Macaca mulatta: one gene and its partner. Each later gene encodes a partner of the first gene's protein in a complex. Links are inferred from orthologs where the notes say so. Each region holds a gene or a part of one and is shown on either strand. Other genes may lie near its edges.

Region 1 (3,500 bases):
TCAGGGAGAGCTGTGCAGCGCCACTGCTAGACCACACTTCTCCCTGCCCTTCCCAGGAGGACTGCTGGCTAAAGACAATGACTGCTGCCAAAACCCACGCCAGTAACTCTGGGTGGATCCATCACAGCTAAATACGCAAGGAGATGAAACCACCCTGAAGGCCCACTCACCTTTGTTGAGAAGCTGTGTGCGGAGAACAACTGTTCCTACAGAAAGCTCTACCAGCTATCTGAGCCCACCGTCCCACACTCCCCGCGGCAGAACCTACGAAAGTCTATGTGCGAGGAACGCCAGCTGAGTTATAACTTGCGGGACCTCTGCTTTGGAGCCGAAGGAAGGGAGGGCCCCTGTAGAGGGTACGGCAGACGGTATGGGAGGGCGGTGTTTAACACCATCAGGCTCAGGAAAGGGAGCAGGTATCTAAGAGCAAGGAAACTACCAGAAACAAAACACGACGTCGATTTTCATACGACCAGCCTGACGGTCCAAGGTGGGGGACAGGCCAATCCATAATCCATTAATAACCATTAACAGACAGGCAGGTGGGCCTATCCAGAGCCAAGATCAAAGCCTGAGGACAAGCCAAGGGAAGGGCTTCCAGACTAAGGTTCAGAGAGGAGCGGCAAGGGGAAAGTAAACATCGGTGGAAAAGGCAACAAATTACAGTGTGCTCATATCTTCCAAAGAGCTTCCTCTAAAATGACCTATTTCATTAGGCATTTAAATGTTCTAATTACGAAAAAAAAGAAATGTTCTCTATCTCACACCTCCAGTGGCTTAAGCCATCAAGCTGCAGTGTGTGTGCGGTGTGTGTATATAGAATATATAAACACAGATGCACAAATCCGACTACACACATGCAATACATACTCATGTATACACAAACACACATACCAACACACACCCCATATATACACACCCAGCCCACAAATACACACTTCTGTACCTATGGACACTCACTATAGCTAGATATGCTATATACAAACACTAGTATGAATACAAGCCAGACAAAGAAGAGGAAGAAAATATACCTCTTAAATGTCAAAAACGACAATGTGAAGACGTGAGGTCACAGCAAACACCCAGTCCAGGGAAGGCCAAGTACCCAGAAGTGCAAGGCTCTCTGGCCTGAGCCCACCCTGTGGCCCAGTGGAGCCTGCTGGGGACCTACCCGCCATTGAGGGTGGGCGTCAGGCCGAAAAGTGTGCAGAGTCCCACAGACATGAGCAGCGAGCTGAGCACTGTGACCACGGCGGCCAGGGCCAGCCCCCACTTGGACTTGACCATGTCGATCTTCCCTGGAGGGCAGAGAGGGCACATCAGGGCAGCCCCTCCCACAGGGGCTCTCGGGAGTAGGTTGCCCTGACAGTTGAGGAAGGGAAAGCTCCTGGTTTCACCAAAGGAAAGGGATAGGCACAAGTACTTCCCAGTGTCATGGACATAGTACACCTTTTAGGAACCCTAACCCAGGAAGGGGCTGAAAGTGAGAAGAGCCCCGGACCCACCCAAGCTCCTAAGACCCTGCTGGGGGATAAAGCCCTAGCTCTGACGACCAGCAGGTGTGTTCTATCTCTCTACCCCAAGCCACCTCCAGAGGCAGGGAAGCAGGTGACATGGAAATGCCCGTTTAGCTTGGAGAAAGCTCCCGGTCTCCCTGCCATGAACCTACGCGTGGAGAAGTAGATGTAGGCAAACAAGATGATGTAGGTGGTCACAAGGGGGATGAGCTCAGCGACACCAATCTCCTCCTTGAAGTGCACGTGGACCAGGCTCTCCGCCCGAAGGCTGCAGTTGGGGCTGGGGTGCAGAAGCATCAGGCGGGCACGCAGGCTGCCCAGGAACCTGGTCAAGGAGTAGGGTGGGGGTAGATGGAAGTGTTGCCCTTGGTTCCGGGGACAAAGACAATCCTTGGACAGAGAGTCCATTAGGACCTCCCTCCTGCCCCTGTGTTGGAAGGGAACTCCTCTCTGGTGCCTGGGCTTCTCTGTAGTCTCCAGGGGTGCTGGGAAAATCACAGAGGGGCAAAGTTTTCTCAGGAACCCCTCCTGCTCCTTTCTCAGCTTCCCTTTCCGGACCTACTCTACACTCACTTTTTATTTATTTTCCTATTTTATTTTTTGAGACAGAGTCTCGCTCTGTCGCCCAGGCTGGAGTGCAGTGGCGAGATCAGGGCTCACTGCAAGCTCTGCCTCCCGGGTTCACGCCATTCTCCTGCCTCAGCCTCCGGAGTAGCTGGGACTACAAGCGCCCGCCACCTCGCCCAACTAATTTTTTGTATTTTTAGTAGAGACGGCGTTTCACTGTGTTAGCCAGGATGGTCTCGATCTCCTGACCTTGTGATCCGCCCGTCTCAGCCTCCCAGCGTCTGGGATTACAGGCGTGTGCCCCCACGCCTGGCCTCCAACACTCTTGATTACCAAAGACCCAGGAGAGGCGATCAGAAGAACCTCGAGTGCCGTTGCCAGTTGGGGAGGTGCCTGCAGTGCCTCACTGGGAAGGACTCAGGCCATACAGGGCTCACTAGCAACCAGCTGGGGATGCCTGCCCTAGGCTCAAGAGAGACCAGAGGAGGCACCAGGACACTGAGACTGCCAGCCCTGCCTTAGTCCCCTATGCTTAACCAGCTGTCAGGTCATCCCCATTAAAATGTGGTAGACAGTATCATCTAGTGTAAGGGATGTAAACATTTCAACAGGAGGCCTGGAAACTCTCCAAGTTTCCAGCGGGGCATTCAGAACACTCTAACCAGAAGAGGGACTACTCAAAGCCTCATGTCACCCAGCAGACCAATCAAGAGCCCAGGGTGCTGTCAATCTTACTTGGCATGGTAGCGCTGGAAGACCAGGGTGATGGTGTAGGAGACCATCCTCTTCCTGGTGTAGAGGCTCACCCCGCTGTACTTCCCGGGAACACCAAACAACAAGTCTGCAAGTAGAAACCAGCAGGTACTGACAAAGAAATGACAGCTACCGCAGAGCCACCAAGGACCCCTTTTTCACCCCCACCCTGGGAACAAAGGGTAAACCCTTATCTGCCTAAGTACACATCAAAAAGACAGTGACCAATGGGCACCCTTGCAGGTCTGAAGGGAACTTGTACTGCGGCTACCTTTGAGTGTGGCTGAAGTCTGCAGGGTTTTAGGCTCGTGCTGGTGGATGGTCCCAATGATGTCAGGATCAGCATGGAAGCGTTCCCGGTCATTCTGCCAGAAATTCCCAGGGGACAGCAGCAGGCATCCATGCTCAGGGAGTAGGTCCCTGAGCTTCCTGAGGCCTGGCAGCAGGTCGGTCACTTGCAGACACAACTCCTCCAAGCTCCTGGTCCCAGAGCTGCACAGGAGACAGGACAAGGAACCTGCTGTGTCTGCCACCACAGGGCAGATCTGCGGTACTCAGGGGACGTCCTCTGTCTGTTCTTCAATACCCCATATTTGCTCTCTAGTAACGCCAAAGAGCCTGACCACTAGGGCAGCAGGGGAAAGTACTTCCAGGTGGCCAATA
Region 2 (4,005 bases), on another chromosome or scaffold:
TTATTATCAAGTACTCAAAAAAGTCCATGATCCAAAGTAAAGAATCAGTAATCTAACAGTTCTCTCACTCTACTTGCAAGGCCAATGACATGCAAAGTGGTCAACTGGAGTAACAAGATTAAGACAGTACCATCAGTTCTTATTACCACAAACATGCATAGTGAATGCCCGAAAATGACCAGACTCATCAAAGGGATAGAGGCTTCCACAAAACCATTTCACCCCCTACCATGCAACAATGAAATTCCTTTAAAAGGATGTTTATGATACCAGTTGCACACTAGAGGAGTGGATTATTTTCAAGGGAAAGTAAGCTCCCTTCGTTTATTTTGAAGTTTGTTTTTCTGATTATGTACTGATACCATTTTCTTCAAAGTGGTTCTATATCTTTAAATATTAGTCTTACATTAATGATAAACTTGAGGTTCCAAAATTTTTTTAAAAATCTATATTTGAAAACTTTAGATTACTTGACAAATAATTTGCTGACCAGGGAAGAAGTCTCTGGTATAAAGGTACTGTTTAAAGGACAGTATCTCCATAGATTCTTGAAAACAACCCTGGTAAATAGGCAGGTGCTGTTAGTTCCCATATTACGAAATAAAATAGGTTAAGTAACTTTCTAAGATCACAGAACTGTTACCAGGTAGCACCAGGACTAGGCCCACCCACTCTGACCCCATGTCTAGAGTTCTTTCTGCTTCACCACATTGCTTCCATTCACAAACATGGTACAAAACAATTTAAGTGCCACACAAGAAACCGTTTTTAAAATCATGTTGGTAAACTACCAAATACCAAAATAATGTTTTCAACAATTCACAAAGAAAAACTTTCCACTAAACTTGAAAAATTCTACTTTGAGCCCTGGCCTAAAATTTCTGGAAAGTACAATACTAAACAGAAAGAAAAATAGTTCAAATAATTTGCATAGATCAGTGATGAATCATCAATACTGGAAAAACATTAATCCAGGTGTATGGCTGCCTACTAATGGATTGATATTATTACTTTTAGGTTAAAAAAAGAGTTATAAGTGATTATGAGCTTTGTGAATAAAAATCAAAGTTCATGTTGGCCACTGAAACAACTTAGAGGCAACAAGCGTTTGAAAACAAACACACATACAAAATATTCCAGTAACCTTAAGAACCTGTTGCATTGCAACAACTGCAACACCCCCTAAAACCAAATGACAAGACCATTCTTTTTCCAATGATTAGCAGTAAAAGAAATATTTTTACTCCCTCAGATAACCCTGTCTCTTCGGGTGCTTAGGTCACATAAGCTACTAAACAATAAAGTGGAATTACTACCTCAAATATTTTTCATCATATGCTCTCTTAATTAGAATAGCATTCTTGAAATAGGATAAGCACTAACATTAGAAAAAAACATACTTAAATCAATGAAACAGTTTAATTCTCCCTAAATAAAAACATATCTACATGTATCCTGGGCTAGAGACGTTAAAAATTTCTAGGAAGAAAAGAAATATTTGCCTTAGAAACACTGCAACTCTTTCCTCTCAACATTAAAACCCAAACACAGAAACCAGTAGGCTAGCTGCATTCACATTCCCTTACAGCTTTTAAATGTCATATCTCAGTGCCTAAAAAAGTTACTCCATCGTTTTAAGTTTCTGAACTAAGAAAACTGTCTTTAAACTACTGAACTGCATTTTATCCTTTCCTTTCCCTGTGACCATCTGCAAAAGCAACAGTTGTCAGTTAAACAGAATCAACCTCTTTCCCAAAGGTACATGATTCACAGCCTGGTCACTGGATAGCAGACATGAACCGATAACTGTGACATAACACAATGATAAAACACAGTACTGAGCAAGAGAAAACAGGAAGGGTACACGTCTAATTTCCGTTTTCTTTGGGGTCCCCATTAGTAGCATTCCCTTCATCTATCTTCATTCAGTGGTTCACTATCAGGGCCAAACCCAAAAGTTACAAAACACCATCTAGCTACTGTTTGGCTGCTTTTATTTTTTCTGCACCAGGACTGGAGCACGCATTCCCCTGCAGTCCTCAGCTTCACCGCAATACTGATACCAAACAGTTTCAGCGGCCCAGCTGCCAAGCCTAACCATTCGTTTTTAAAGCAGTTCTTCATCAATCCTACAAAACAGCAAGTTCTTCATGGTATATTTTCCTAGAGTATCTAGCTAATATCATACTTTTAACAACTTTTTCCAACGTTAACTGGACACGGTGTTAGCACCATTGCTCGCGCCCACTCCCATAATCCACACTGCTTTCCTTCTCCATATTGCCAATCCCCACTAAACAACCGTAAAATCCAGTAACTATCATCAAATCCACTTCCAGGCCCTGGCAAGAATTCTTTGGCTTTACCGAAACACCTATTCCATAGGTAACCAATTCCAGTCCAAAATGCCAGAGTCCTACTCCTCAACCCAATGCCCTATCTTTTGAGTGGATTATAACCTGTCTTCTTGGGATCCAACCCCGGCCCAAACCTGAGTCTTCTCTCCCAGGTTACAAGCCCCCAAGTCCTGGCAGCTCTATGCTTGACAGCTCGCTGACCTCCACCTCATCAGACCTCTGGCTCGCCCTTCCCGCCGTCCTCCAGACTTCTTCCCGCTCAGACACTCATCCACTGCCCGAGGAGCCTGGACGCCTCCTATGACCCCTCCCCGATCCCGCAGTCCCCTTCTGGACCTCGCGGACCCCTCTCAGGTAAGCGGAGCCTCTTGCCCTGCAGGCCCATCAGTGGTCCTGGCTCCCCGCACCTGCCACCAGGGTTCCCAGGCTGCAACAACACAAGTAGTTCTTCTTCCCGAGGGCCACCCTCCTCCTCAGGCCGCTCTCCTCAGCACCACGTCACCCGCGTTTCGCCGGGAGACCCCCTACTCACCCCCGCCTCCGCCATCTTCTGGGACCAGCCCCCGTACTCCCCACCGCCTCTTCCTCCTCCACTCCCACAACTCCGCCCGAGCTCCACTGCGCCTGTGCGGCCAACGAGGCCGCGCGCAGGCGATCGGGGCAAAAGAGCTTCCGGTTCCTGCTGTCAATAAAGGGTGGACCTGCGAGCCGGGGCAAAGGGGCTTCCGGTCTGCGGGAGACTGGAGGCTAGCGGTGGGCGTGGACCGTCGAGGTGACTGGCGGCTGTCGGATCAGCTGTTGTTTGCTGACCAGGCAGCCGTGGGTAATGACGGATGCCCAGACCCTGTGGGCGGAGTAAAGGAATCATGCACTGATACACGCACACTCACCGAGAGGCGCGGCCGTCTGCGTGCCCCTCATCTCGTAGCCGAGAGGAGCGCGCTCCGGGGCAGGCCTCCGAGTACTTCCCGCAGAGGACCGGGCTTTATACTGCTCCTTTTCCTCCCCTAGTAAGTCATAACTTAATTTGGGAGAAGAGCATAGTAATTTGTCTCTCGTCTCCATGCTACAGCACTTTATGTGCTTTTCATTTAAAATCGTTCCTCGAGGACGACCAAGTAACGTGATTTGGGGGACAGTTTTCATAGGAAGGACTTCATAAGTTTACACCAACATAGAGAAAATTTAAAAACCTTATAATTATGTGTCAGAAGTATTATTTTTCACTTAATCTAAAACCTTACTTTTAGAACATGAAACCAAGCCAAACGGGTCTTTGGAGATTGTGCAAGCGAACTTCTTTTTTTTGAATGAAAGTGGTGCCGTCAGTGCAAAAGCAAGCCCATATAAGTGCCGAAAGGTACTCGTCATAAGGAGGAGTTGCTTCCCTATTCTGAATTTTTATTTATTTATTTATTTAAGACGGAGTCTCGCCCCATCACCCAGCCTGGAGTGCCCTGGCATGATCTCGGCTCACTGCAACCTCTGCCTCCCGGGTTCAAGTGATTCTTCTGCCTTAGCCTCCCCAGTAGCTGGGACTACAGGTGCGTGCCTCCACGCCTGCCTACTTTTTGTATTTTTAGTAGAGATGGGGTTTCACCATATTGGCCACGCTGGTCTCAAACTCCTGACCTCGTGATTTGCCCAC

Evidence for each region. Proteins that work in one complex are often made in the same cells at the same time.
Region 2: the proteins of SCAP (region 1) and INSIG2 are in contact, whole or in part, in a cryo-EM structure (PDB 7ETW), measured with the Homo sapiens proteins. The link is inferred for Macaca mulatta from reciprocal best matches to the Homo sapiens genes SCAP and INSIG2. Residues at the interface, in NP_036367.2 of Homo sapiens: Pro200, Ser206, Val282, Ala283, Glu284, Ile286, Pro287, Thr290, Ile294, Ala297, Tyr298, Phe301, Lys305, Tyr351, Val354, Val355, Glu359, Thr409, Leu410, Val411, Ser638, Tyr639; in NP_001308258.1 of Homo sapiens: Phe41, Val45, Leu48, Leu49, Ile51, Val55, Leu57, Phe58, Pro59, Val62, Ser65, Ile66, Glu104, Trp105, Ser106, Met109, Arg110, Val112, Ala113, Val114, Val116, Gly117, His120, Gln132.

Annotation. Positions count from the first base shown.
Region 1 is NC_133407.1:110,783,496-110,786,995, forward strand, and holds part of SCAP (sterol regulatory element-binding protein cleavage-activating protein), read right to left. Parts: intron 3,364-3,500; exon of another isoform or gene 3,330-3,363; coding exon 3,109-3,329; intron 2,926-3,108; coding exon 2,820-2,925; intron 1,843-2,819; coding exon 1,670-1,842; intron 1,299-1,669; coding exon 1,172-1,298; intron 1-1,171. UniProt on the Homo sapiens protein: Escort protein required for cholesterol as well as lipid homeostasis.
Region 2 is NC_133417.1:19,426,372-19,430,376, forward strand, and holds the start of INSIG2 (insulin-induced gene 2 protein), read right to left. Parts: upstream 2,801-4,005; 5' UTR 2,765-2,800; intron 1-2,764. UniProt on the Homo sapiens protein: Oxysterol-binding protein that mediates feedback control of cholesterol synthesis by controlling both endoplasmic reticulum to Golgi transport of SCAP and degradation of HMGCR.